Sus scrofa: one gene and its partner. Each later gene encodes a partner of the first gene's protein in a complex. Links are inferred from orthologs where the notes say so. Each region holds a gene or a part of one and is shown on either strand. Other genes may lie near its edges. The genes, in order: TMEM231 and TMEM237.

Region 1 (4,290 bases):
AACTTGCAGTTACAAGATAAGTACTAGGGATATAAGGTACAACATGATAAATATAATTAACACTGCACTGGGTTACATATGAAAGAAAGAGAATAAATCCTAAGAGATCTTATTATAAGGAAAAATATTTTCTATTTAATTTTCTATATGAGGTGAAGGGTTCACTAAACTTATTGTAATCATTTTATGATGTATGTAAGTCAAATCATTATGTTGTACACCTTAAACTTATATGGTGCTGTATGTCAGTTATATCCCAATGAAACTAGAAGACAAAAGCACTTCTAGGTTGGTTTTGAAATAGGAGCGTCTACTGCTGGACTCCATTCTGATAACAAACCTCACACTATCTCTTGGCACTGACATTTGATTCTTCGGGTCCTTTTGATAAAGAAGTTGGCTGTTGAACGTGTTAAAAAAAAATCCTGGGAGTTCCCATTGTGGTCCAGTGGAAACGAATCAGACTGGTATCCATGAGGATCCATTTGATCCCTGGCCTCCCTCAGTGGGTTAGGGATCTGGTGTTGCCATGACCTATGGTGTAAGTTGCAGACATGGCTTGGATCCTGCATTGCCATGCCTGTGGCATAAGCTGGCAGCTGTAGGTCCAATTTGACCCCTAACCTGGGAACCTCCATATGCCATGGGTATGGCCCTTAAAAAAAAAAAGATCCTTCTGCCTTGTTTGAAATACTAGGGAGAGCTTTTAATGAAGTGACACACCAAGGTTAACTTTGCAGAGGGCCAGAGCTTCCCCAAAACAGGTCGTCAAGCCTGTGCTCAACTATAACATAGTATAGTAGAGCTATATAGTAATTATCCTTATCCCTTGAAGAGCAGGGTGCTTTGTGACCTGTTTCGGTGTCTGTCTTGCTATGGACTAGTGAAAGCATTAGAAAATTTGGAGACAGGGGTTCCTGCCCTGGCTCAGTGGTAAGGGACCTGACTAGCATCCATGAGGATGTGGATTGGATCACTAGCCTCGCTCAGTGGGTTAAGGAACTGGCATTGCCATGGCCTGTGGTGTAGGTCACAGACGCAGCTCAGAACCTGTGTTGCTGGAACTGTGCTGTAGGCGGCAGTTGCAGCTCTTATTTGACCCCTAGCCCGGGAACTTCCATATGCCTGCGGATGCGGCCCTAAAAACAAACAAACAAATAAATAAATAAAAGTGAAAAGAAAGAAAGAAAAAAGGTACATTTGGATACAAAGGAGTGACCAGGTCCAGGACCACACTGTTTTCCTCCAATGTAAGGTGTGCCGTTACTGGACTCAGTGTACAGTGAACCACATTGGGGATTAACAGATGACACTTATGCAGGTATTTACTTTAATATTTATGAAAATCTAATTTGACACAAATGTTAACAAGGGCGATGCTAAGATTTGGGGGCACGGAACATTCCATTTCTGCTCAGCTTATAGGAAAGGGCGCCTAACGCTTAAAGCTAGGACTACGATCCACCAGTGGGTACCGCCCCCCGTTAGCCCCACCCCCACCAAAGCCAGCTTCCTTGCTATTGGTTCCTTTCCCCGCGCCTGCGGTTGCCGTGGAGACCAAGGCTATGGCAACCAGGAGAAGCCAAAGTTGGTCGAGTCTCTGGAACCGCGGAGGGGTCCGGGACGCGCAGCCCGACTCCGACCTGTGCTCATGGCGCTCCACGAACTCTTTTCTCACCCGGTGGAGCGCGGCTACCGCGCGGGGCTCTGCTCCAAGGCCGCGCTGTTCCTGCTGCTGGCCACCGCCCTCACGTACATCCCACCGCTGCTGGTGGCCTTCCGGAGCCACGGTGAGCCTGCCTGAAGGCCAGTGCGCGACAGGATTCTCCCCGGTGCTCCCGCCGGCCTCCCTAACCTCTTCCCCTCTGCCTCCTGCCCTCTTTACCTCAGGGTTTTGGCTGAAACGGAGTAGCTACGAGGAGCAGCCGACCGTACGCTTCCAGCACCAAGTGCTGCTCGTGGCCTTGCTGGGACCTGAGCACGCGCACGGCGGATTCCTGGCCTGGAGCACGTTCCCTGCCTTCAACCGACTGCAGGGGGATCACCTGCGCGTCCCGCTCGTTTCGGTGCGTGGTTCTGGGCGGGTGTATGGATGGAGATGGGGATAGGGGCATGCGTGGGAGGAAGCTGGGCGGTCCGGGTCCTTGTCCCTGGGGGCCCTGCTTGGGTCTGAAGGAGTTACGAATCCACAGAAGTTGTGTGTACAGGCTCATTGGCCTAAGCTTATATTTAATTTCCTGGGGAGTAAATATTTTGTAATATTCGAATTCTCCAAGCCGTCCACCACCCCCGAGAAAATTAGTCACTGCTGTCAGGGTGTGTGTCCCACACAGAGACTGATAGCCTGCGGACAGCCTGTCTCTGGCCCCCATTTCCGTGGGCGTGGCCTGATGGAAGCGTGGTCGCGAAAGTTGCTGAGTCGTGAAAGCCAGTTGACGTTCTCTCTCTCTTTTTTTTTTTTTTTTTTTTTTTGGTTTTTCTGTTTTTTTTTTTTTTTTAGGGCCGCACCCGCAGCATATGGAGGTTCCCAGGTTAGGGGTCTAATCAGAGCTGTAGCCGCCAGCCCAAGCCAGGGCCAGAGCAAAGAGGCATCTGAGACGCGTCTGCGACCTACACCACAGCTCATGGCAACGCCAGGTCCCGGATCCGTAACCCTGTGCGGGAGGTCAGGAATTGAACCTGCGTCCTCACGGATGCTAGTCAGACTTGTTAAGCGCTGAGCCATGACGCGAATGTCTAATGCTCTCTTTAATTACTCGTTCTTGCAGCTGGCTTGTGCTTCAGCAAGCAGTAGCAACAAAAAGGGCGGGTATTTTTAGGCAGACTGACATGTGGAAGCAGAGGCGCTGATTGGTTAAGTGACCTCCCCAGACTGTTGCTGGCCCAGTCCAGCCTCCCTGGGCTTGCCTCCTGAGATGCTGCTGCATCCTGCCGCCGTCTGGGGGTGAAAACGAAGTTTTTTACTGCCTGTAATCTAGTGTCTGATTCGAGGTAAGTGAATGCTTCCTTTATAGTCACCCACCCCTTTACGCTCATTTTCAGGAGACATTTTCCTTTGAAAGTAGGAAAATTCTGGATTTTCTTCTTTCAAAGTTGGATCTCTTTAGACACCTCTGAGATGATTGGCCTACAGCCAAATTGGTGTAGCTGAAAAAAAAAAAATAAGATTTTTCCCAGCAACTTAATAAAATGAAAAAAAAAGTAATCTGACTGTTCATATGAATAACCACAAGCAAAATAGGATTCAGATTTTTTATGAATATTTAACTTTCCTTACCTTTTTTATGATTATGAATTCTCCTTGTAAATTATTAAAGAGTTACAGGTATATATAATGACATAAAATTAAAGACCCAGTTTGGCACATATATCAGTATTTGTGTATAATTCATTTATTTCTCATCTCTCCCCTGCTAGACCTAATTCCATGTGGGTAGACTCAGTATGTCTAGAATTGCATGTCTCATTTTTTTTTTTGGACCACACCTGGGACATATGGAAGTTCCCAGGCTGGGGGTTGAATTGGAGCTTCAACTGCCAGCCTGTGGCACAGCAGAGCAGGATCCAAGCCACATCAGCCACATCTGTGACCTACCTCACAGCTCATGGCAACTCGGGATCTTTAACCCACTGAGTGAGGCCAGGAATCAAACCCACATCCTCATGGATACTATCAGGCTCATCACCACTGAGCCACAATAGGAACTTCCCATGTATCAATATTTGTTAATCAAACTTCTTTTTAAGGTCTGCAAAGTAATCGATACAGAAAGTGGTAATGGATTTAACCAGTTTCCTGTTGGTGGATATTTGATTTGCTTTTACTTTTAAACATCACATTGTGAGAAATTGGAATAGAAACTGTATGTTGAAATTGTAAAAGTACACAGAAAACTACGCAAGCAAATAAAAAACACAGTAAGGAGGAGTTCCCATCGTGGCTCAGTGGTTTACGAATCTGACTGGGAACCGTGAGGTTTCGGGTTCCATCCCTGGCCTTGCTTAGTGGGTTAAGGATCCGGCGTGGCCGTGAGCTGTGGTGTAGGTTGCAGACGCGGCTCGGATCCCACGTTGCTGTGGCTCTGGCATAGGTCGGCAGCTACAGCTCCCATTGGACCCCTAGCCTGGGAACCTCCATATGCCACAGGTGCGGCTCTAGAAAAGACAAAAAAAAAAAATTTGCTCAACCTAAAAGTTGAGAGTTCTGTTTTATATTCAGTAGACAAAACTGAGGACTTAAGCCCAGGAGACCGCTTCTCTGGTAACCCTGAGAAAACCCACTCTAAGGAA
Region 2 (4,123 bases), on another chromosome or scaffold:
CCTCGGTGAGTCCTATCATTGTCTTGGGCTCCAGGTCTCATAGCAGTGAGGTACCAGGAGATACAGCCCTGAAGAGAGCTCTTCCAGGGCAGGACCCACCTGAAGAGTTAGGTGTCCGTGACAGACAAAGATCTCTGACAAAGAGCTTGGGAATAGGCATGGGGGGTTTCTGCTCATCCTCTCTGTCCTGTAAAAAAAGAGGCAGGGGGAAGGGTCTGCACAGGCCAACTGAGTGTTAGCTTAGTAAGCGCATAGGCCTCTCCTTTATTCTCCTGCGTTTGGGGGCCACTCAGCTTCTCTTTTGCTGTATATGCTTTTTAAGGCTCCCTAAATGATTCTGATGGTCAACCAGATATAGGAACCCACTGGTACAGGTCTTAAAGGGAAACGAACATTAACGGTTATAAAACTTTTCAAACAAAAGTTGTATTTCCTTTTTAGCCATGAAGTAAAACACCTTTCAAGCTAAATTACATGATCCTAATTACATGATACACAACCACTGAGCCAGTTTCAAAAAAGACAAATTTCATATTTCAATTTATTCAGTAAGGAGACAACAAAAATAAATAATAAAGGTCTTCCCCCTGTCCTTCCTTATTCCCTAAATTTCTGTTTAAACCTGATAGATATTTTGTAATACTAAAGCTATGGCTTTTTAAAAAGCACCGTACTAGTGCTTTTAAAGATAATGATTATAAATGCAACTAATTTGAGAAAACAGGAAATAAACATTCTCGCCTGCTGATTTCTAGCTCATTACCTCCTTTGTCATTAGGATGATAATGCTACAGACATTAATATTTGAGTATAAGCTGCAGACACAATTGTAACATTTTCCATAATCCTGAGAAAGTGTTCTGTATTATATAATCAAAAAATCGATTCCAAATACATCCATACATATCTTACAAAAATACATTTAAAACAAGAATGGGAAAAATTCTAAATACTGGGTCATTCCTCTGAAGATGAGCTGGCACTATGAAGAGGCTTTGATTCCTTTTTCTTCATCAGGATATTCTTCCACATCAGAGGAGAACATCAGCTCTGGGAGAGAAAATGAACAAATCAGACTCAACACGGTTTGCCAGTACCTCAGAAAGAGTTTTATAGCTTAGTTATAAACAGTCTCTTAAAACATTGACATATTATATGATAATAGAAAGCCCTCATGTTCAAGTAAGAACTCTTACCAGGAAATTTAAGCCGTTCAGAGAATCTGGGATCATTAACCAGCTAAGAGGTCTAATTCTAATAGAGATCATTTTAACCTAAAATGTAGGACGCAGACATAGAGGAGGACCTGGACCTAACACGAGTGCCAGGATATGTGAACATGTTACCTCATTTCATCACTATAACAACCCTAAAAGCGAGTGTTATCATCCTCATTTTATATTTGCTTTTTTTAATCCACATAGAAATGTTATTTGATTCACGTGGCCCTAAAAGAGAATTGCGTTCTGGAAATACTCAGTAAGTAACACACGCTTTGCGATTTAGACTGAATAACTGCGCAAGCCAGGTGGGGGCAGCTTCAATCCCAACCACAGCGCAGAATGTTACTAATTGACATTTCTACATTTAAACTATTACTTAGCATTGATATATAATTCTACATTTAAACTGTTACTTAACACCGACATTAAAATACCAAGAAATATTAAAAAAAAAGGAAATCTTGGGAATCTAATAAAGTCCCCAGATGTAAGCATTAGATGAAAAAAATCTTTGACTAAAAACAATATGGAATAAAAGGAAAACAGCAAAATACCTAAAGCCTAAGAAGATTTTTTTTTTGGTCTTTTTATCTTTTTTAGAACTGCACCTGCAGCATATGGAGGTTCCCAGGCAAGGGGTCCAATTAGAGCTGTAGCCTCCAGTCTATGCCAGAGCCATAGCAACGTGGGATCTGAGCCACATCTGCGACCTACACCACAGCTCACGGCAACGCTGGATCCTTAAACCACTGAGCAAGGCCAGGGATAGAACCCACAACCTCATGGTTCCTAGTTGGATTCGTTAACCACTGAGCCACGATGGGAACTCCAGCCTAAGAAGATTTTTAAAAACACTTTAGTATGTCAAAAGGAATAATGAGTGAAACAACATAAGAAAAGGTACATGAACGAATATATACAAAAAGATTATATTTTTTTGTTCTGGTTTTTACAAATGGAAATATTGGAAAGATTCTCAATTCCAAGACTTCTGAAACAAAGGCTGTAATCAGTTGATCAGACTGCAGTTAAATGCTCAGAATGTTAAACAAATTAAGAATAAAATAATAACCGAAGTCCAGAAAATATCAAAGCGATTCAAAGGTAAAACTGTGGACCATCTGCCCAGGAAATACAACCTTACAATACCAGTACTACACGGTTCCTAAAACAGTGCTGAAGGACTAGCAGTTTGCAATGTGATTCTTCCTCTTCAGGTGTTCCAAGAAGGGCCTGGGGACCAGAGATTAGTAAATCTCGCTTCACCCTGGGTGCACTAAATGACAATGACTGGTGAAGAATTTGTGAAGGCGGAGGAGGAGGTGAGAACAAATTCACTTGAATACATGTCTAACAGAGGCTAAGAGATGATGGATGACTTATGCCAAATTGAGATACTTTGATCAAAAAGAGGCCAAGAGGAGTTCCCGTCGTGGCTCAGTGGCTGGCAAATCCAACTAGGAACCGTGAGGTTGCAGGTTCGATCTCTGGCCTTGCTCTGTGGGTTAAAGATTCCGTGTTGCCATGGGATGTGGTGTAGGTCGCAGACGTGGCTCAGATCCCGCGTTGCTGTGGCTCTGGCGTAGGCCCACGGCCATAGCTCCGATTGGACCCCTAGCCTAGGAACCTCCCTATGCCGTGGGAGCGGCCCTAGGAAAGGCCAAAAGACAAAAAAAAAAAAAAGAGAGAGAGAGAGAGAGGAAGGGAAGTTAAGATTTGGTATAAAATACCTGAAGGGTTCCAAAAGAAGAAATAAATTCAAAATATGTGGACAGACTACAGAAGCCCCCTGTTAAGACTCTGGGACCCAGAGTTCCAGGCATGGCTCAGTGGTTAACGAATCAGACTAGGAACCATGAGGTTGTGGGTTTGATCCATGGCCTTGCTCAGTGGGTTAAGGATCCCGCGTTGCTGTGCCTGTGGCATAGGCCAGCAGCTACCATCTCCGATTGGATCCCTTGCCTGGGAACCTCCATATGCCGTGGATGCGGCCCTAGAAAAGGCCAAAAAAAAAAAAAAAAAAAAAAAAAGAATAAGACTCTGGGAATCCAGCTCTCCTACATACTCCACCCTGCTTCTCTCAGCACTCTGTTTCACCACTCTATTATTACTCTTCTTGTGTTATTTTAAGTGATTGGACTATTACAAGCTACATTCATTACAAAAGAGATTTACAAAGTCATTACAGACGATTTCATGATATTCTATTTTTTTTCTTGAATACCTTCACTAAGATCCATGCCAGGTCTATAAGACAAAAACAGCCAAGATAATCCCACCAGAAGGGCCACCACCAGATTCACCACAATCCATGGCTGGAGAACCTGCTCCTCAATTCCTTCTGCCCTAAAAGGACAGAAATACTCATTAGAAATGTCTTCATTTTGGTCGATATATCCAAATATATCCATTTTATAAACTTAAAAAAAAATTAGCACTCCTTACCTAGAGGAAAAACAGGCACAAAATAATATGGAATTTCCCTGTTAGATGCATCATATGTATCAGGAGAACAAAGGTTCAAAGGTTGCAGAACTATCACAGTGCTACTGTTCAATCTTTCTTTACCTAATGCCCCCTAGCCACTCTCTCAAAAAAGAGTGCCCCTCTTCCCAGTGAGGGAAGACAGCCCGCCCCCTCATGGTTGGCCATGAACCTGAGGAGGCGGACTCACCTGGGTCTGCTCTCCTTCTATACCCTTGGTTTTCTGAGAACTCTCTCCCAGGTGCCCACTCCATCTCTATGCTGGGGTATCAGGCTCCCCCATCACGTAATGGTTTATTTTTAAATCGTAACTTAGGAGATTTAAAATAGATTTGTAAAAAGAAGACATTTCTTTAAAAATGGAGTATGTAATAACAGTTACCCATTAACCAAGGGAATGACAAGGAGGGGGGTTG

Evidence for each region.
Region 2: TMEM231 (region 1) and TMEM237 share a complex: the UniProt entries of both Homo sapiens proteins name them as parts of the tectonic-like complex. The link is inferred for Sus scrofa from reciprocal best matches to the Homo sapiens genes TMEM231 and TMEM237.

The regions. Positions count from the first base shown.
Region 1 is NC_010448.4:12,139,122-12,143,411, forward strand, and holds the start of TMEM231 (transmembrane protein 231), read left to right. Parts: upstream 1-1,195; 5' UTR 1,196-1,565; coding exon 1,566-2,066; intron 2,067-4,290. UniProt on the Homo sapiens protein: Transmembrane component of the tectonic-like complex, a complex localized at the transition zone of primary cilia and acting as a barrier that prevents diffusion of transmembrane proteins between the cilia and plasma membranes.
Region 2 is NC_010457.5:105,254,977-105,259,099, forward strand, and holds the end of TMEM237 (transmembrane protein 237), read right to left. Parts: intron 3,570-4,123; coding exon 3,448-3,569; intron 1,051-3,447; coding exon 983-1,050; 3' UTR 524-982; downstream 1-523. UniProt on the Homo sapiens protein: Component of the transition zone in primary cilia. Required for ciliogenesis.